Linked DNA regions of Arabidopsis thaliana. The protein of the gene in region 1 interacts with the protein of each later gene in a pairwise test. Each region holds a gene or a part of one and is shown on either strand. Other genes may lie near its edges.

Region 1 (5,119 bases):
GTTTCTTCTTCTTGGTTTTGCTCCTTTTTAGCGTTCTTGTGTTGATTCTTGCGGTGGAAGTCATAGTTGTATTCCTCGAATTCTTTTGAACCTCGATCGAGCTTGAAGAAAAGATCACCGCGAATTCTCATGTTATCGATTTCATCGTGATCGGGATCTTCATCATCGAGTATTGTTTCTCTTACTCCTTGTATTGTAACGGGAGAGTTTTTTGCAGTGTCTGCTTGGAACTGTCTCCAAGCTTGGGATAAAGATGATGAAACATGCCAAACATCATCATCCACAGTTTCTATACCACAACCACTCAAACCAGTCACTGTAACTTTACCACTTTCACTGTTGGAAAATCTCGAGGAGAAGCAACGCGGTGCAGGTCGAAAAACGGAGATAAAATCTGGCAAACGGAGACACTTTCTTCTCAAAACCATCAAAGCCATTGAAGGAAAAGAGACCAATTCTGAAAACGCACGTGAAAACTAAACGGTAAGATTTCAAAGAGACATATCGTCGAACATCTGGTGTGCAAGGTTGGTAAAGAGAAATTTCTCACCACTGGCTTTGTGTCTTGTACCGAAATTGAATCACCACTTTGCTCAATGAAGAAGAAATGCAATTCAACAGAGAACTGGTGGGTATGTCTTCAAAGCAACGACCTCCGATGTTAGATTTGATCGGAGATAGTTGGTGACGAAGAGAAGTTTGTCATTCGATTAACAGAGTACAGAAATATAAGTTTGTTGACTGAATATTAGACATTACAAAAGCTTGAGTTTTGTTTTATATGCGATTAATAATAAACACACCAGAGGATATAAGCTAAGTTACTAAGAGAGTTAGGCTGAGAAAGAGATATTACAGACAAAAACGACGACGTAGGAAGACAATAGACCCAGAGAGAGAGAACACCAGAGTAGTAGCAGTTGTCACAGTATCAGTGATTTGTTGGTTATTACCAATCTTCTTCCTTGTTTTGTTGTCACACTGTCTTCTAATTCAGTAGTAATGTTGCTGATGGTGGAATTGGTGGTGTTGATGATGGTGTGGGTGGTAAACTGGAGGAGCTGGAGCAGGAACTGGACCATTACAATAACCGTTGTACGCTGGGTAACCGATAGGAGAGCCTTGGTATGAGCCTGGGATGATCTCCGGAGAGTATGGATAAGGTGGGCTTCTGTTGCTGTAGACTGTTGTAGGTGGGGATGGGTAAGCTGCTGGTGAAGCGTATTGAGGAGAGTGAGAGGGTGATCTGATGAACGGGAAGGAAGAGACGTATGCGTTTGTGATACGCCCGGCTTTGGCTGGTGGCATTGGACCGTTGTAGCTGGCTCGGGTTCTTTTGTTGGCAGGAACAGCTGCTGGCTTTCTCTTCTCGGTTTTGGTCTTCTCTAGCTGATCCAACCGTTTCTTGAGGTTCTCTGGAGGGAACTCTTCCTCGAGTTTGTACTCTTCTATGCATTTTAAAACCGCCTTAAGTGCTGATTGCTCCTTGCGCGCCACGAGATGCTTAGGAAGAAAACATAACAAGGAAGATATTAACTTTCAGGGACGCACAGATAAAAATATTTAGCTGCGATAGAAATGAGTAGATGCAATGAGTAGATACCGTAGCTCGGCCAGTATTGCTAGAGTCCTCCATGATAGAAGCTGCTGACTTCTTTGCGTCCCTTAGATAAGCTTTGAGCAAAGGAACAGGAGGGAACTTATCCACAAGCCCAACTTCATAAGTAAAATGAACAGCATCAAGCTGTTGTCCCCTGCTGATTAATTCTTCAATCATGTCTGTGGACAGCGCAACAACTTGTAAGTTCAGATATTATAAAACGAGATACAGAGAAAAAGGCTTCAACTTCACACAGTCTGTGGTCAATAACACCTTGTACCACTAATGTCTCAGACTTCACCACAATCTATGCCATACAATGTTTGCCACACAAACTTAATATTCGACTAATCAACTCGTAAACTATTTGTAACCTACCAAAACTATACATCTAGATGGGTTAAACTATTAGTAAACTAGCCAATTTCAAAACCATATATGATCTCACAAGTTACAATGAGCATGCCAGGATAAAAAACTAATAGGTAGAAGATAAGAGCTTAAGAGGATTACCAGGCATTTGATCACCCAAACCAACAGAAACCGCAAGCTTAGGCATCTGTTTACGCCACGCAGATCCAACAACAAGCTTTCTATACAAAGCAAGATCTTCACTTTTAACAATTCCAAATGTAACAAGATGCTGCAAAAACGTATGAACATCAGGAGTCTTCACATTCTCTATCCTTCCTCTCTCTTCCAAACTCTTCTTCCACGTCTCAGCAATCTCCTTAGCTTTCTCCTTAACACTCGGAGTAACAAGCAACCTCGATTTCCCAATCACTGGATCAACAATTACAGGTGTTAAACTCTCAAGAATCACAACACAAGCCCATCCATAATCATTGCTAACTTTATCTCCTCTTGTATCCACCGGAAAAACCTCAGATATCGCTTCAAGCACTAACATCGCCGGATCTACACAATCAACCAACGCCGCCGGAATCTTTGACCGGAGATTCTCCAACTCCTTCTTCCTCGCCGTCACAAAGTTCCAAAAACCTCTCGCATCCATTTTAAGACAAAGAGATTTCAAAGCAGAAAGAAGACCTTCTTCATCGTCAACATCACCGGAATCATCATTAGAACCATCACCACAACCATCTCTAGCTTTCTCTAACGATTCAAGAGCAGCTCTAGCTCGTTCACCTACTTTCCCAGCTACGATCTCAACGCTATGGTCGATTGTTACCTCTCTACGCTTCAGAGACTCGAGCGAGGTCTGAGTCTGGTTATCTAGAGTTTCAATCATCTGCTTCAACGCTTCAGATTTCTTCATCAGATTCTGCTCTAGAGAAGTGAAGTGATCGGAGAGCTCTTGCCATAGAAGAGTACAGCTAGTCATCAACGACGTCTGTTTCTGAAACTCCTCGAAACTCGGCTGAGCTAACTCAGTTAACTCGCCTGGATCGGGGACTGACCCCATCGCCGGAATCGGAAAAGAAACTCAAACTCCGTTGATTTGATTGATACAGCAGAGAAGAATAAACTCAAGAGAGAGAGTGAAATTGAAGAAACCCTAGAAATGGGAAAAAAGTAAAGAGACGAAGAAGAAGATAAGAGACAAAAGAAACAGTGACGTGGACAACTCGAAATAGCGACACGTCTCAGTGGAGTCTGATTAAAGGCGCGATTATTACATATTCTTCTATATTGCGCCGTCGACGCGTAGCTTAGCGTGATATGCGTAGTATAAGAGAGTTGGGTGATGACGTGGTAATAATAATAAGTACTATTACTATAGCTTTGCTTTAATTTTTCGTATAAAGAAAAAAAAAGGTGAAAGAGATAAGTGGGCCAAGCCCACTGACCACCACATGCGTTGAGTCGGAAACCAGTGAAGCATTGCCGGTAAAATACCAATTGAATAACAAAAAACTATATAGTATAGCAAAAAAAAAAAAATGTTGTTATAATTAATATGAAATTCTTTGTGTAGTGTAATGTAGTAATGTAAGAAGAAGAACAATGCATGTGTTTTGTAGAAAAGGCTGTAATGAAATCAGGGCACGCGTGACAAATGTTAAAACGTGATAATGAAGCAACCACAAAGAAGATTCATTAGTACACATATAAAACTAATCTTCGTACTATGTTTTTAATATCTTTGTGATATCAAAACAGAAGAATAGAATAAAAACGAAATTTTGAATTTGGTTTTATTAAAGCTATTGCTTTTTTGACATCAGTGGAATGGATATATCATAAAAACTTTTTTCTGTTGATATGTACAAAATGTTAAAACGGGACAGTGACATATAACACATTATTGAGGGGAAATATCCATTACTCTTTTAGACCTCTTGCTATTAGAGTATGATTTTATAGTTACAAAAAGGTTAGAGAAACATTACAAAATTAGAATGAGACGAAATATGAAACTGACGGCTAAGAATAATTTATCTAATTAAATGGGTCCGTAATGGCCGACTACATATGAACCGCCGATTACTGTTTCCGCTTTATAGAAAAAGTGAGTAGAGAAATTTGAAAAATGTGAGGGAGATAATCGAATTCAAAAGAGATAATGATTTAAATTTATGCATTGATTTGACCTCAGTCTAGCTAGTCTTATAGTAATATGATTATGACATTTTACATAATCTAGTCTTTTTTCTAATATGTTTAATTCTCTTATAGTGCATGTAACTCTATCAAAAGATACAAAGTACTTTGTCCTGCATATTGTACATTCATAAAATTATATCCTAGTTGTTATGATATTGGCCAAACTATAATCCTATATGTTATATTAACTTTCACTACCGGATAGTGCTTGATTACTTTCATAAGTGTTAAGGTTTATCTTAAATTCTTAATCACACGGCCTAAACCGAAGCTGATCAAACTTCCTTTAACAAAACGTGTAAATTGGTAAGCCAGAGCGAACCAAAGATTTGAATGAAGACATGTAATAAAGTTTATCAGAACACAAGAAAGTAGAGGGGAAAAAATCGTCAAAACACTTTATACCTAACTTGTCAATTAAAGAGTTATAAACAAAGACAAAACAAAATTTATATAGTGGTTACCAAAAGCCCCCACAAAATACAAGTCCTCTTATCTAATGTTTATTTTTGTTTTCATACCAATTTATAATTTTTTTTTTATTTTTTTTTATTCAAAGAAGATAGCTAGCTTAAACTAAACACCACCATTGTTGTCACCAATCTAAGGTGACCAAATACATAAAGCTACTACCAGAGTGCAAACAAAAACAATAACTCAATGTCATAGACATCATCAATACAATGGCACTATGGCAACATTGTTTGGTTGGTTCAATATTCTCATTTCCATAGGCTGGCTAAAGCCTAAAGAACAAGCAGGAACCACTATTCGAAAGGATGAGATAGAACAAGGAAAGAAGAAACGAACGTAGGAGAATCAACAGGGACATCAAAAGCATCAAGCAACTATCACAATATACTTCTAAGGATGTTGGTAAAGAGAACTTGTATATATCAGGTTCAACCGATATTAGACTATGCAATATGAACACTGAATCGAAGGATCAAA
Region 2 (5,202 bases), on another chromosome or scaffold:
AGTTCTGACTCTCTTGTCAATCCAGACAACGCCACGAGTTTTACCAGGTCGCCACCATGATTTGATGTACTCTTTTCTCGTCTCCCACAGAACAGAGGACGCGGCAATCCCGAAAACGATGTGATCAAGCGTCGTGTTGAACATCCTTGGTCGCTGCGGGTAAAGAGCGGGGACACGTGGAGGCACATCGTCGTCTTCTTCCTCGGGAACAACAGAGGAAGATGAGTTTGCTTTGTCGACTAGGGACAGGTGGCTGTAGGTAGAAGAAGAGGGACGGCAGGTCTTGCGTGAGCCACCTCCTCCGGTTGTAGAGATGAGAAGCAAAGGGAGGAAGAAGAGGAAGATGAAGAGCCATGGCAGAGGAGATCTTAAGAAGCTTAGGTGAGAGGTCCGAGCAGAGTTGCTGTGGTTTTGTGCTTGGTTTCTTTGGTGGTGATGATCTTCTAGAAGTATGTTCTTAGGGTTGCTGAGATTGGTGTTAGAGCTCGAACTGTTTCCCATCGCTAATGGGAATAGAAAAGAAATAGATCGACACTACTTTGTTTTGTTTGTTTGTTTTCAATCAGATTTGGTGACATCTCTTTTTATAAATGATAACGAAGTTTCAGTAGTAACAGGCTAAATTTAGCTAAAGAGAAAAGGTCTCTTCCTAATTTTACTGCAAGAGCATGACCATGAACCAATACTAAAACTGATAACAAGTTCTCACATTCACCACTTTCAACATTTAATCATAAAAGCAAATCGAAAATTTGTATCTTTTTCATGGCAACAAAATTGGTGCACTGAAGCAGCTAAAGGAACCACTGGTGTATCCATATCAGTGCCTTGTCTGCGAAAATTGAACAATACATTGTCAAACACAAAAGAAACTGAAAAACAAAAACAAAAAAAGGCAGAATATTTGAGAAAAAAATAGTAGAATAAGAAAAAAGTTACCTTTCTTTTCTTGAATGGCCCTCCCCTTTTATTACGGCCGAAGCTTCTTGGCTTTTCACCATCCTTATCCAAGAACTTGATATCATCGTAAAAGTTCTCGGTTAGTTCATGCAACCTGATTCAGTTGAACATGAGTGTGTATCATCACATAAGGACCAATTACATATCAGACACTTCAGTTTCCAACCAAAGCAAACACGTACCCGCTGCTTGATTTCAAGCGCTTCTCTCTCTTCTTATCCTCTTTAGTGCGAGGTGCCCGGGTAAAGAGCTCTTCTTCTGCCTTTTGTTGCCTTTCATACTGTGCCATAAACCTCTTCTGCTCATTGCTCTCAACCCCATAATAGTCTCTAATCTGTTCATATTCATTCACCCATTTAGTTCCAACATCAAATTAATCTCTACCACGCATATCAACTGCAAATTAATTTCCTTCCAACTCACCTCTTCAGGCCTGTCCTCCAGATCGTCCAACACATCTTTCATGTATGTATTTTCAGTGGCTTGTCTAAAAAAGTGTTTCTCTTTTCTGGCAGCATCTCTTTCTTGTTTTGAAGTCTTATCTTCCATAGACATAGGGGCAAATTTCGGGGGTCGATAAACACCATCATCCTACATTTACACAGGCAAAGAGGTTAATAAAAATAACACGCAACATATTTCTTCACAAGTGTTGGAGGATAGTAAGGTTTCACCTCTTGGTCATCCTCTTTGTCAGCAAGTAAGTCAGGTTTAGGCTTATAATTTGAAAGATCTTCAGATTTTTGGGCTTCACACGACCCCTTTCCCTCGGAATGAGCTAGCTCTGTCACAGGCCCACCGGCTGTGGTGAGCTTCTGAATCTGGTACTGAAGTTTTTTGTCTATGGGACGAATCTACACAAAAGAAAAACAAGCTAAAACTATGACTCCATGACTTGTTGGCGATATAGAAAGTGGAAAAAGACAAAGATGCAAACCTTTTCCAGAAACATACGTATCTCTACAAGGCTCCTTACAAGAGGATGACCATCAATAGAGAGTCCTTTTGCTTTCCTTAGAATATAATATACAAGATCCTGGCAATAACTTAGAAGTAACAGATGCTTGGCCTCAAGATAACTTATCCCACCCGCTGTCGGAAAACTGTTTGCTTTTACCTACGATTTGTAAAATTAAGAAAGTCAGGATGTCATGAATGACCCATTGTGTCTCTGAATGGTAACGGCAGATGCAGCTATATACAATACTTTGGTTAAAAATCCTCAAGGAGAAGCAAACAGTTTGTTCTCGAAGTCGTCAATTCTACTTATACCCAATTGAAACTAGACATGTTATAGACGAGACCGAGTAGATATTAATAAAGTAGAATCCAACAAAAATATGTTATCAGATTACGTACCAATGCAGTCAGAGCTTCCACTTTGCTCCTAACCACATCTAGAACATTCTTCATTTCTCTCAACACGGATGCTAGCTGTGGAGCTTCTCTGAGACAGTTACAATAACAAAAACGAGACCAGTAAAAACATGAGGCATATCTAAATACACAAGTTATTATTTTCGTTTGATTGTGAGTTGTGACAATTAAAGTGATTCAACGATTCATTATTCAAGCTGTATTCTTTTTTTCTTTATGGCTAAAACAGAGAACAATTTCATGATGGGTAAGAATAACTCACTTCTTAACTATTCCAACAAGGACCGGTTTGGTGATCTCCTCCATGATTCTTGTTCAGTACTTGACAGAAGATAAGTCTGTGAAAAAAGGAAAACAAACATGAAAGTTCAGAGACTAACCCTTGAATTTGAATACCACATTAAGATACTCAGATAAACTAAACCATAGTAACTGAGAACGAAAAGAATTTAATTCATGTTGAGATTTTGGAACAGAGATTATGGTTTGGTCCAACAACGTTTGAATATCTAAGTAAGCAGCCAAAGAGTAGCTAAATAAAAGTTTCATCTTCAATCCTTACGTTTTCCTACAAATACTGTCTACCAATTTACTAATTCATAGAAACAAACATTCACGATAACCCAATGCTAACCAAAATTGATGAATTCCCAACAGAGCAACTATCTCTCCGTTTTGACTCGATTAATTGAGCTCAGTGGTTGTCGGTACACCAAATCTAGAAGCGGAAAAGACACGAAGAAGAAAGCACTCACCGGAGATAGTGAACTTGAAGGTGACAGAGAGCGACGCTAAGAAAAAGGTCACGGCGGCCACAAAGTAAAATTAATCGAAAGCCTCTCTCTACTGATTTTCCGACAATTAAAACAAAAAAAAAAAGGTTTTAAGGAGACGCATGATTCTAACATATTTCAGGCCCCATTTAGCTTTAGGGCCCAATAAGGGTGGCTAAGTTTAATTATCGCAAGACGCAAGCAAATAATTTAGCGCAATCTATGGTTTTGGTGGTTTAATCATTTTGGTTATTCAGTTTCGACAATATGATTCTTTTCTTTTATAATCAAATAATCAGATTTTATTTTAATTTTTGCTGTGTCGTTAGTCACAATAATCAGTTGAGTTTGAGAACGAACACTGAGTTCTGATTCCTTCAGTCTCCTCCATATAGCCCATATAGGACTCGACTAAACCACCAAATCTTTCATCTGCCAAAATCTACTTCATCAGTGTCGTTGCCTTGCCATTACCGTTTATGTTGGTTTTAAGAGAAAGACAAAGCTCTGAATCAACACTGACCAACATGTGTCTCAAAAAGAAACATCAACCATAAGTTACAGAAATGTGCGTACAGATACCAACCAAACGTTTTTCTACTGCCGACACTACTACAGTCACAATCATTGGACCAGTTCCAAAGTCTTGAAAGCTATGCGTTATTTCTTACTCCGAAAAACTCAACACCTCTGCGGATTGACTCGTGCTTACTGCTAGGTTGCCAAAACAAGAGCCAATGGGATCACATACCATTTACCATTCTCTTCATCTCGGCTGATCTTCTAGAATCTGGTTCTTCAATCGCTCTCTCGGTCAGCACATGCTTAATGCGGCACATTGATCTCCTCACCTATATTTGTGAGAGGCAAACAAAGTTGACATTCATTAAAAAATAATCATAATCTCCCTCGGTAACAAAGAACATAACCATTCCTTGAAGAAAGGATTCATGTTTCTTCTCGTAGTATCTATTATTTTGTCAACAACTTAATTGGATAGAGAGTCAAAGCCAAATTAGTATCGATTACCTTTGGAATGCGTTCAGGGTTAGGAAACTGCATGTTCTGAGCCTGAAGCATCTGACGCTGAGTCATCAACATGTTTTTCTCTTTGAGAAGAACGTACCACAGCTTCTGAAGATCATCCCATGACTTGAGACGCAGCTCTGAAGCTTTCCAACCTCGACCTAACACCAGAAGTTTACAAATTTTCCCCCATTAACAAAACTAAACAATCCTAATTCCAAAAACTCCATGGGAGGATAACAAAGTTAAGAAGAAAAACGAACGATTAGCAAGCTTGACTACAGTCCTAAGCTACAGTGAATTACTTTACTTCTTCACTGTACATTCTATGAACAATCCCACTAGTAAACTAGTATTAAGCAGATGAGTGGCAGAAAACAGAGAGAAGCTACCATAGACAACAGGTTTATCTTCGTCTTGGCTTCTGTCGAACTCAAAGAACTCTTCGAGTGGATTTGTTGGCGTCCGAATCGTCGAGGCAGCTGCTGCTGCTGTAGTGGACTCCGATCGCGCCGATGCAGCCGCCAAGAATCTCCTCCCGACAAATCGCGTAAGAAACATTTTAACAACAAACAATTCCTTTGAGCTTGCAGTTATATAATCTGATCATCAACAACAATCAGAAAGAGAAATCGAGATTGGATAACAAAATGGTAAATGGTTAATGAAAGTCGTACAAAATATTTCAGGCTTCCGAAGAAGTGAGAGATCGTGTACACAGAAAAGCACATCTCGCAGAGGAATAAATAAGAACTCACCGGAGATAGAGAGAGGAGAGCTATTTCACGGCGACGGTGACGGCCACAGAGAATGGAAAACCCTCTCTCAACGTTTCTCCGAGAATAACAGGTTTACGGAGACGGAAACTTTTAGGGCCCAATACTAGCTCTGTTAGTATTGATACTATTATTGGGCCAGGTTTCATTTTCTCTTTTAAGGCCTAATAAGACCCAACACTTGCAAATTATTGGAAGACGAATGCTGTTTTTGTTTTGTTTTTCAATAAAACAACATCTTTCAATTAAATTGGGAGCAATCCACGTCATCGATCCGTCAAGTATTGTTA
Region 3 (5,223 bases), on another chromosome or scaffold:
CCAACAAGCAAGATAAGAAGAAAGGGAGAGATCATGCGCACTCACTAAGAGGTATTGAGATAGAGGAACACCGAAAATCAAATGATAGAGGAAACGTAACAGAATGTTCTAATGCTTCATCTGAATCAGCAACGTATGTTCCAAGAAGGGGACGATCTGGTGGCTCTCAGAGCATTGAGAGGAAGTGGCGGCGTCAAGTGAAGATTGTTCTTGCCATTGATATAGCTATTTGCTTAACGCTGCTTGGTGTTTGGTTGGCTATTTGTCATGGCATTGAGTGTACACGTTCTTGATCTATTTATTCTTCCATATGCATTTTCCTCTTCTGCAGTTATGTTGTAGAGATTGCAGTTTGAAATATTCTGCAGCATTGTTGATTGTATATTAGGTATAGGTCTCAAGTTCCTACGTTGGTTTGTGTATAATATGATGATTTTGTTCTTATAGTTGTACATAAAAACCAGTCTGTTGCTGAATGATTGTAGTAAGGCCTCTTGGCATCAAGATAATGAAAGTAGGGATTCATATAGTAGGAGACATTGTCATAACCTCATACAAGAGGATTATATATCAGATCAAAGTAAAATATTGCAATCACAGTTTCATTTTCCAACCACCGAGGATGGAAACTGAAAGCTTTTAGTTTTCTTACATAGAATCAGAAACACACAGCTTACAAGATATAACAACAAATTACATAAAAAGAGAGTTTTTAGTCTTGAAGAAATAGAGGAAAGAAGTACAAAAGAGAGATAAAGAGGTGATGAATACCTCTCACCTGAAATTCCTAACCATGGTTGGTCAACTGGTTTGGTTGATTGTTATGAGAAGAACCTAAAGGGAACCAAAATATCTCCCAAGAGGCAAAAATACATGCAAATGCAAGAACCCCACAATCCATTAGTGGGGTTGGTTCAAGATATGATGAGCAATCTAAATTTTGAATCTTAAAAATGATCTTAATCTAAGTTAGCTCAAGTGTGGCTATAACTCCAAAGCTTAGCCACCGAGAATATACATGTGTTAGCAATTCCTTTATCCTCAAAGGAAGTTTATGTTCTAGCGTTCTACTACAAGACAATGTGTAACAACATGGTCCTAGATCTAATAATCCTAAGACTGCACATTAAAATGGATATAGCGTGAAGTAGTGTGCACACCTTTGCACACACTACTTCAACACTTCCAGGTGGTGGCAATTCACTTCTTGTGCCTTTCCCGGGAAATCCTTATTTCCTTTCTTGTTGATCAGCCAATCCTAAGTTTTTAAGTTTTTCTACAAAATTGCTTGCCTTTGCGAGGCACTGTGCAAAAGACGGTAACTGTTTACTTCTACAGCTCGAACAAGCTATCTTGAACGAAACCTTCGTTCAGAAAGCAGGTAATGCAATGAATAAAATGAAAAGATGAGTAATGTGTATGAAGATGGTCCTAGTTAAACCCCTATGTGAGACTTAACTAGAACTTGCAAAGACGCCCAAACTCCAAATTATGGGCTTCTTTGTCTAATGGGTTAGAAGCATAAAGGGAAAAGGGCAACCATGGTTAGGCCACAGGTCTTGTGAAACTTCAGAGGCATGTGGATGAAAGTAGTAAACAAAGCTTTGCCTTAAGGATTTAAATGAATTGGTCCCCTACATAGCATCATGGAACTATGAACCACGAGCCTTCATGGTCAAGCCTGTGGAACTGCAAAGCAAACTGCTGGAGAACATCAGTACCTCTAGTTTTCCATGTTGTGTATGAACAACGAAAAAATATAAAGAAACTAACCTGATGGTATGACTGGTGAAGGTGCAAGAGACACTGGTGAACCATTGTGATGCGGGTAGTTTCCCCCGGGAGCAGAATAGTGAAACATGTGGTTGGGGTAGTGGAGGGGAGCATAACCAGTGACAGGTCCATTTCCTTCAGCAAACTGGAGATATGGGTAGAACCCTGCTGCTGGTGCTGCTGCTACACCAGTCATTGGTCCGCTTCCATACATTGGATGCTGAGCAGTTGCCCCTCCATAAACATTGTAATAGCTCTGCTGTAAAAACAATAATCCAATAAGCTATAAGAGATAAGAGTAGAGTAGGGAGAGACTCTTACAATATACATACCGTGGGGTAATTGTAATCCATTGAGTATGAAGAGAACCTAAGAAAGTTTAATGAAACCAAACAGAGGATTTATCAGTCTAAGTAGAGTGATGAGTATAGAAAAATCAAGTAAGAGATTAAACGTGGAGTACCCAAAAGGATTAGTGTAAGGAAGTGTGTAGTGGGAGAATGGAAGTGGGGAAGGAATAGCAGTAGCCGCGGTCCCAAAGTGTGTCTTGAAAGGGCTAGTCACCTTCATGCCTCTTCCTCCTACATGTCCTGCCATAACACAACAACATGAGAATCTCCTCTCAAACATTTGCTTTCAGACAAGAACAAAACACAACATATTTAACCAGAAGATTTAACTAACTAGTGTAGTCTGCAGAAGAATTATAAAGACTAGTGAGCAAGAAAATGGCTTTACTGAATCAACTAAGGAATCAAGATGAAGCTATACCTCAAACAATAAAGTAAGACAATTCATAAAGTATCTAACTTTGCTACTAATATGTGAGACATGTGATTCAAGACATACAATTCCAGCAAGATCCATGGATTTACATATACTCTTGATGTAGGGTTTTCAAAAGTAAAGTATCAAAAGACAGAAACCTAAAAGTACCATGAATAGGAGAAGAAGGTTTGGATCTCTGAACACCAAAAGCAGCAAGATTACAATTAGCTCTTCTTCCATCAATAACAGGAGCTGGATCTACACAAGCTTTCTGAGCTGCTTCCGGATCACAAAAAGTAACCTTTACAAAAAAAAAACAGAACCCGTGAGCTTGAAGCTATAACAAATCTCCAAAGTAAAAAGAAACAAGAAGAAGAAGAAACTTACAAAGCCATAGCCTTTAGATCTACCACTAGATTTATCAGTGATAACGACAGCTTCAACAATGTCACCAAACTGTTCAAAGTAATTCCTGAGAGAGACTTTGTGTGTTTCCCAAGCTAATCCTCCAACGAACACTTTGGTAAATGTTGTGTCTTCCATTTCAGAAACAAGGGAAAATTCCACGAAGTAAAGTTTCCGGTTTTGGGAACAGAAGAAGCAGAGAGACGGTAGTTGAGAAACGAGAGAGAGAGAAGAAGGAGGAGGGAAGAGGATTCAAGGAAAAGTCTCAGGGAAAAAAGAGAGAATTTGGGGACACACTCATTGAATTATTTAACTTAGCTTTTCACAAATATCAATGACATTTTTTTTATTTTATGTACGGTCACTGTGTGTTTTTGTACACTTTTTTCTTGTTGGTCGGATCCACTCTGTAAAATAGATTTACAGTTGGAAAACATTTATTTTAGCTATTATTTAATTTTTGGTCTTTTATATTGGTGGAAAATCTTAAAATTGAAATTTTCTGTATTTTTAATTCTACCAAAAAAAGATATTCAACAAAAAAAACTTTCCCTTAGCAAATAACTAACCGAGAAATAACATACACAAAAAAAAAAAAATATAACTAACAGAGATATACTATATATAAAAAAATACATTTTTTTTTGACCAATATTAAATTATAGCTCAAAAGAGTTTTTTTTTTTTTTTAGTTTACATATCCCTCAAAATAAGTTGAACTACTGAATATATTTAGCATTTTAACATTTTCACAAAAGTTGGTCAAAAAAATTAATATACCAACCTTTTAATTTTTTATTATCTTCATAAGAATCCATATTATGATTGCACACAAGTTGTGTAACTTATTTGTAAGACATCAAATGATTCATGCATATGCATATTTCTTAGAACATGATTTAATGTGTTAGCCTACATATTTATATGTAAATCAAATCAAATCTAAAATTGATTGATAGTTAGCAAAATATTTCAGAATTTTAGTGATTAAAATTATGCCGATTTACATTCATTTACAAAAAAAAATGAGCAAAATGTTACGAAAAAGGTAATCTTAGTTTACAAATAGTTTTTTTTTTAATATCATTATTCCTTCCTGTTTTTAACTATAACGCTTATTAATTTTCTATTCGTTAAAAAAAATTATGAAGAATTATTGGTCTTCGTTTACAAAAAAATTTACTGACTTACAGATTTTTCCACTATCTTAGTTTACAAAAAAATTATTGGTTTGTATCACTTTTCATGACAATCTAAAATCTAGTTTACTAATTTGGAGATAAATTCTACTATTCTAAATACAAAATTATGAATTCTACATTTTGAAGTAAACATTTACTGACTTACAGATTTTTCCAGCCAAACTTAATAAGATAGATAATGTATATGAAGAATTAAATTAAAAATTGGTTAATATAACACTTAAGTCTATAATTCTTCTTTATGAGATCTCACAACTACAACAAGAAAAAGTCGGTCCTATTATCTTCAGCCAAAAGTGATTTTTCTAAAACTAGATCAATCTTACAAAATCATGTTTTGTATTACAATGTTAGTATGACTGATTTTTGAGCCATAAATTATTTCGATTCTCAGCTTTCACCCCGGACTTTTGGGCCCTTAAATTTCCACCATCAACTTTCATATTCCTCAAAATTACATTATCTACTTTCGAATTCATGCTTAAACATACATTTCCAATTGAACCATTCATTTAACCGGGATTAACCACAAATCTGCGTTTACTGTACCGCGATTGCGATTAACCCGACTAATACCCAGACCCGTTAAGAAAACGACGTCGTTTTCATTTCGTTTAACTCATCAAAAAGAGAAAGAAAACGATGTCGTTTTCATTCTTCTTTAACTCTCAAATCGATTTGGTCGTTCTTCTTTAATCTCGACACTGTGAAATTAGGGTTCTTGAGAGAGAAAGACAAAAGGAGATTTGGGGTTTTCTTCTTCGATTCGAATTTCTGGGTCTCGATTTGGGTTTCGAATAGGGAGAAATGAAGAATTGGTGGGAGGAAGGATTGATTTACCAAATCGATCCAGATGACCCCGATTTCGAACCTCCAGAGAGTGACATTGAAGCCGACGATGGAAGTGATAGTGGTGATAGCGGAGTCGAGGAGGACGAAGCCACCGGAGTTGAGGGAGACGACGTCGGGATAGATGGAGACAGAGAATCTGATGGAGAGGAGAATAGAGAAGACGATGGTGATATAGCGTCTGATGGAGACATCAATCTAGAAGACGATGGAGACAGAGATGAAA
Region 4 (5,954 bases), on another chromosome or scaffold:
ACCATTAATCAATAGTTTTGTTGAGTTCTTAATTTTTTGATAGATTTCTTATAATTAATGAATAATGATTTCAATTAATGGACATAATTTAGGAATATTACTGATCTAGCAGGGGAAAAATCGCTGACTTTTCTTTTTATTGTAATGAAAGAATTCTAATTTCCTCGGTTATGAAAAAGCTATAAGTCTATAACGTTATGAACTTGAGAAAATAATAATATTGTTTCGGAGCCAACAATTTTTGGTCTCAGATATAAGACAACGATTTGCAAGATCTACTAAATTAATCAAGATTCTCCTTATTATGTGTCCTTTGGTTAGGACAACGGGTCAAGACAATTATTTTAAATATATTTTTCAAAGCTTGGAGCTGTTGATATGAGTCCATACATACATGACTCCAAGATTCATAGTATGTAAAATGTTCAACTTGAGATTTGAGAGACGTATACCACACTGCCTCTACATAGACCTCTAAAGACTCCAACTGTTCTAAAGCTGGAGCCTAGTTGTGCTCAAGATCTCTGGTGATTATCATTCATCGACCACTCTTTTAACATTCAAAAATAAACACATAACCCTAAAATATAATCAACGCTTACGTTCTTTCAAAAGGTGATGAAAACATTAAAAACAGAAGCATCGCAGAAACATTATTAAGAGTTAAAAACTCAACACACACCTAGAGAAAAGCAAAGACAAATAAACTGTGTTTGGGAAAATATTCATAACAAGGCACGCAGAAACAAGTTCATAACAAAGTACGCAAACAACAAGCAGAGTGACATTAACTCAAGCAATACTCTCGGGGTTAGTAGCTAAACCCGACTTGTTGCTGCTGTGGTGGCTGTTGTGGTGGTTGCTGTCCTGCCTGTGGTGTCTGCTGGTAACCACCGCTGTATCCTCCACCAGAGTAGCCTCCGTAATATGCATTAGGGTCTTGAGGCATCGTGTACCCATACTGCTCCTGTCCTTGTCCATACCCACCGTAGTAAAACTGGCTCGGATCCCCCGACTGGAAACCAATATCAAAAAAGCATTTCAGATTATAAAAAGCTACTTGAACTCAACTATTTTAAGCGATTCTGCTATCATCTAAAACAATAGCCTGGACTACATAGTTCTTAGAACAAAAGCCGATACACGGTGAGAGAAGCTGCGATAGTTCTTAGACAAAAGGCGATACACTGTGAGCTGTTTCTTTCTATCATCTAATGTCAATGTAAAGATTATCAATTACCTGTTTGTTCGAAGGACTTCGGCCCCATGAGAGCCTGACGGTTGTTCCGCCTAATTGCACTCCATTCAGCATTCTAAGAGCTTCCTCTGCACAGCTCCTGAAAAGTGAGGGTTGGTCACAAAACACATGATAAAAAAAACTATTAGAATTCTATTCCAAAGACTATTTTAGGGTTAAATGAAAGACAGAGCTTCCAGTAGTAGCAGCAGACTTACTTCTCGGAAAACTGAACGAATCCACAGCGCTTTCCAGCGGGTATTTTCACATGCACAATCTCACCATATTGGCTAAAGACATTCTTCAGATGATCATCCGTGACAGATGCATCTAATCCACCAACAAAAACCTGTACAGTAAATTAAAATGCGTCAGATATAACCGCTTTGGAAGATAACCGAGAGGGACAAATATATAATAGGAGCTTAAGACCCACAGTTGTGTTATTTGGATCATTATCAGTTGTTACCCCTGCAGCAGAGCTCTGGTATGAATCTGCATTTACACGAAAAAACACAGGTATAATGGAAGTAGTAAGTCACTGTAAATTACACATGCAACAAAGTGATTGGAAAACTATGAGGGAGCCTTTTGCAGCCTCATCTAGATATTCACATCAAAATGAAAGCAAATGCAAAGAAGGCATTCACACATATACAACACACCGCCCAAACTCCAAAAGGAGAATAGTATTCAAAGAAGGCATCAGTGATGTTAACATCAATCATAAACTATACGTATAGGATCATTCCATCAACAAGCATTGAGAAAGGATCTGAGGAGCTGCAACCGCAAGAAAACGAGCAAGTAGAGAGCAACAATTACATTTGCATCACATTTCACCCAAGGTTTTTGACTACTCAAGGGTAGATAAAGGTGGTAAACTAAATGAAATGCCTATAGAGAGGAATATAGAGGATTATAAAGGTCAATACTGAAAAAATTAGAAACAATGTATAGACTATTTCTCTGGCCACTCCAGAAACTGTCACATCTGACCAAATCTCATAACTTAAGGATAGAACTTCTATCATCTAGACTCACAAAAACAGTAAAAAAGAGCTTGATGTACTAAAGATATAAGTAAATCAAGTGAAAGATAAGAACTTTAAGTAGAGCGGAATGAAATAGAAAAGTAATTACATAAGAATCGACTTATAAAAGTAAGTAACTGACCAAGAACTGGAATAAAGGTTTGTATAGAAAAGATAAATGGAAATTAAAGTAGGGCTGAATCGAAGGAAAGGGCTAATAAAGGACAACACATGAACTTTAAAACTGACCTAAGCATGGGCACTCAATAAGGAGATAACCATTTCAGCTGAATATCAGTTCCAGGCCTCAAGATGATAGAGAGCCTCTTGACTCCCCTGCTTTGAAACAAACAGGATACAACAAGTGTTCTATAAGATTTCTATCTTTTTAAGTTTTTTAACAGAATTGACTGCGGCCTCAGCGGTAAATGTAGGATGCGGCTTTAGAAAAAGTAATGGAGTCATACTTAGCACAAGGCAGTTAACTAGTTCTTACTTAAGGCAACCTAATCACATAGATACTACAACACACAAATCAAGAGAATGCAAGATCAAATCAGTTCTAATGTGACATATACTTTACTTTACCTCTTTGACCAGTTACACCTTTCTTGCTAGCAGCGGGACCAATTCTCATAGGTCTAGTAGAACAAGGAACGCCATTCATCTCCGTCATAGCACGGATCTGTTCACTTTCATCAGAAAACCTAACAAACCCATATCCTTTTGTACGTCCAGTGACTCTGTCAATAACAACCTTTGCACCCTTCACTGACGGATAAGAGGCTCTGAACGTCTCAAGTAAGATATAATCCGTAACATCAGCAGCCAGATCACCGACAAATATCGTGTAGTCCGGTGAATCGTCTCGTTTATCTCCTGAACTCAATGATGCCCAGTTCAGTCTAAAGAGCTGATCAGGAAAGCTCGGGATAGGAGCGTTGTTGAATGTTTGTAGAACTCTTTCAGCAGCAGCATGAGATGCGAATTCAATGAAACCGTATCCTTCAACTTGACCGGTTTGCTTGTTACGAATCACTTTAGCAGAAACCATCTGCAAAATAAATACTGATAGTGTTAAACCAACTAGTCATTATATAACTAGACAGAACACTCATTAACTCATTGTCGGAAAGAGATTACATATTAAAAAAAATTCAAACATCTAAAGTTAATCTTTTTACACATCAAAATCAAATCTTTCAAATATAAAAGCGAGGAAACAATTAACACTAACAAGTACTTATCAAATTAACCTTAATCTCCTTCGAACAAACAATTAAGCGCGAACGATAAAGCGAAAACAGAGAGATCTGAGAATATTACCTCTCCGGTATGAGCAAAGCAACCGTAGAGGAAATTCTCATCCATCCAATACTGTAAGTCCCCGATCCAAAGAGTCCGGATCTCGTCAGCGGTCGTAGGCTGAACTGATGGCGGCGCCGCCGCTTGAGGATTCCACATCTGTGGTGGTGGTGGAGCAGCTCCAGCAATCCCGTAAGGTTGTTGGTAACCGTACTGTTGTTGCGCAGAAGGAGGAGGAGCGTGATGTGGAAGGATACCTCCGGGTGGTGGCTGCTGCATCATGATGATCGGAGAATAAGATAGAGAGAAAGAACTCTTTTGAATCTCTGACCGTAGAAAAATTGTGATGAAGAAGAAGATAACAAAACAATGCTAAAGATGAGAGATTGTTGATAACCCTTTGAGAAGGCGGCGGTTTGTAATAAAACGATATGTGTTTTACTATATAAATATCCTTTGGTGCTTGTAATCACAAGGGATCCGTGGCGCAATGGTAGCGCGTCTGACTCCAGATCAGAAGGTTGCGTGTTCGATTCACGTCGGGTTCAAACCCCCGGTTTAAACATGATCCTTAACTTTTTATTTAACTTTTTAAAAAATATCCTAGATTCAATCGGAACCGTCCAAGTTGCTGACTAGTCATAAAATCAACGGATGATATGAATTATGTATATGATTTAAGTAAACCATTGAAATTAAAAATTTTATTTTGTCAAACCCCTAAACCGGTTTAAACCTCTTCTCTCTCAGCCGTCGTCTCCATTTCTTCGGGGAAATCATGAACCCTAGTAATGGCGTTCCTCTTCCGCATTCGAACATCGGAATTTATACTCCAGAAAGCGACTCAATTCCGATTGAAGTCTTCTTCTTCATCTATCTTCACACTAAAATCTCTCACTAGCAAGCAGAAGAAGAGCCGAGATACTCTCTCCCTTCTCAAATCCGAGAATAATCCTGATCGAATCCTCGAAATCTGCCGATCCACTTCACTCTCACCTGATTATCACGTCGACCGTATCATCTTCTCCGTTGCGGTGGTGACACTAGCGAGAGAGAAACACTTCGTCGCTGTATCGCAGCTTCTCGACGGTTTCATCCAAAACCAACCCGATCCAAAATCCGAGAGTTTCGCAGTCCGTGCCATTATCCTATACGGCAGAGCGAATATGCTTGATCGATCTATACAAACATTTCGCAACCTCGAGCAATACGAGATCCCAAGGACGGTGAAGTCTCTAAATGCTCTTCTTTTCGCTTGTTTAATGGCTAAGGATTACAAAGAAGCGAATCGTGTCTACCTCGAAATGCCGAAGATGTATGGCATTGAACCTGATCTCGAAACTTACAATAGAATGATTAGAGTCTTGTGTGAATCAGGTTCAACGAGTTCATCATACTCCATTGTTGCAGAGATGGAGAGGAAATGGATAAAGCCAACAGCTGCTAGCTTTGGTTTAATGATTGATGGTTTTTACAAGGAGGAGAAGTTTGATGAAGTGAGGAAAGTGATGAGAATGATGGATGAATTTGGTGTTCATGTTGGTGTAGCTACATACAACATTATGATTCAATGTTTGTGTAAAAGGAAGAAATCTGCAGAAGCAAAGGCGTTGATTGATGGGGTTATGTCTTGTAGGATGAGACCAAACTCTGTGACGTATTCGCTTTTGATTCATGGGTTTTGCAGTGAGGAGAATTTGGATGAAGCTATGAATTTGTTTGAGGTTATGGTGTGTAATGGATACAAGCCTGATAGTGAATGTTACTTCACTTTGATACATTGTTTGTGTAAAGGAGGGGACTTTGAGACAGCTTTGATCCTTTGTAGAGAGAGTATGGAGAAGAATTGGGTTCCGAGTTTTAGTGTCATGAAGTGGCTTGTTAATGGACTAGCAAGTCGTTCAAAGGTCGATGAAGCAAAGGAGCTCATTGCGGTAGTTAAAGAGAAGTTTACCAGAAATGTGGACTTGTGGAATGAAGTCGAAGCTGCATTGCCTTTGCCTCAGTGAACAAAGGTACACATAGAAGAAGTCATTCATCTTCGATTTGACATGAGGATTTGAAGTTTTTGAGATTGGTTAGTTTAGCTGAAATCATCTGTCAAAATTGAAATGAAAGGGGATATAGTTTGAAGAGAATCTTGTCGTTGAGATTAAGAAGCTATCTCTCTAAGGATTGGTGCTGGTGAATTATCAATTTTCTTACTGAATTTTTTTGAACATGTTGTATATAAATGGAATGTAACATTTTTCAATATATCGGAAACGATGAGCCTAATCGCTTCATGGCCTTGCTGATGAATTGAATCTCGAATGTCTTTTGTTGGCATGGGACCATGTTAGCTTCATGAAAATGTCCATCAGGTTAAGCTTATGTAA

The links.
Region 2: the proteins of AT3G22440 (region 1) and AT1G07840 interact in a two-hybrid assay, tested with the Arabidopsis thaliana proteins (one large-scale study listed by BioGRID).
Region 3: the proteins of AT3G22440 (region 1) and AT1G33470 interact in a two-hybrid assay, tested with the Arabidopsis thaliana proteins (one large-scale study listed by BioGRID).
Region 4: the proteins of AT3G22440 (region 1) and RBP45B interact in a two-hybrid assay, tested with the Arabidopsis thaliana proteins (one large-scale study listed by BioGRID).

The regions. Positions count from the first base shown.
Region 1 is NC_003074.8:7,957,761-7,962,879, reverse strand, and holds AT3G22440 (FRIGIDA-like protein), read right to left. Parts: upstream 3,128-5,119; 5' UTR 3,027-3,127; coding exon 2,114-3,026; intron 1,780-2,113; coding exon 1,604-1,779; intron 1,504-1,603; coding exon 994-1,503; 3' UTR 509-993; downstream 1-508. Other genes in the region: AT3G22450 (Ribosomal L18p/L5e family protein), read right to left, coding at 1-437; AT3G22436 (uncharacterized protein), read left to right, coding at 4,860-4,982.
Region 2 is NC_003070.9:2,422,044-2,427,245, reverse strand, and holds AT1G07840 (Sas10/Utp3/C1D family), read right to left. Parts: upstream 3,202-5,202; 5' UTR 3,093-3,201; exon of another isoform or gene 2,972-3,092; intron 2,676-2,971; 5' UTR 2,644-2,675; coding exon 2,600-2,643; intron 2,408-2,599; coding exon 2,320-2,407; intron 2,078-2,319; coding exon 1,898-2,077; intron 1,815-1,897; coding exon 1,635-1,814; intron 1,552-1,634; coding exon 1,384-1,551; intron 1,295-1,383; coding exon 1,143-1,294; coding exon of another isoform or gene 1,115-1,142; exon of another isoform or gene 1,055-1,114; coding exon 940-1,054; intron 833-939; coding exon 821-832; 3' UTR 518-820; downstream 1-517. Other genes in the region: AT1G07850 (transferring glycosyl group transferase (DUF604)), read right to left, coding at 1-501; AT1G07830 (ribosomal protein L29 family protein), read right to left, coding at 3,854-3,961, 4,140-4,297, 4,529-4,697.
Region 3 is NC_003070.9:12,142,493-12,147,715, reverse strand, and holds AT1G33470 (RNA-binding (RRM/RBD/RNP motifs) family protein), read right to left. Parts: upstream 3,277-5,223; 5' UTR 3,085-3,276; coding exon 2,929-3,084; intron 2,843-2,928; coding exon 2,710-2,842; intron 2,364-2,709; coding exon 2,237-2,363; intron 2,143-2,236; coding exon 2,106-2,142; intron 2,033-2,105; coding exon 1,774-2,032; intron 1,702-1,773; coding exon 1,676-1,701; 3' UTR 508-1,675; downstream 1-507. Other genes in the region: AT1G33475 (SNARE-like superfamily protein), read left to right, coding at 1-293.
Region 4 is NC_003070.9:3,912,799-3,918,752, reverse strand, and holds RBP45B (RNA-binding (RRM/RBD/RNP motifs) family protein), read right to left. Parts: upstream 3,980-5,954; 5' UTR 3,859-3,979; coding exon 3,598-3,858; intron 3,326-3,597; coding exon 2,860-3,325; intron 1,733-2,859; coding exon 1,674-1,732; intron 1,587-1,673; coding exon 1,456-1,586; coding exon of another isoform or gene 1,452-1,455; intron 1,338-1,451; coding exon 1,241-1,337; intron 1,016-1,240; coding exon 812-1,015; 3' UTR 510-811; downstream 1-509. Other genes in the region: AT1G11630 (Tetratricopeptide repeat (TPR)-like superfamily protein), read left to right, coding at 4,368-5,585. UniProt on the Arabidopsis thaliana protein: Heterogeneous nuclear ribonucleoprotein (hnRNP)-protein binding the poly(A) tail of mRNA and probably involved in some steps of pre-mRNA maturation.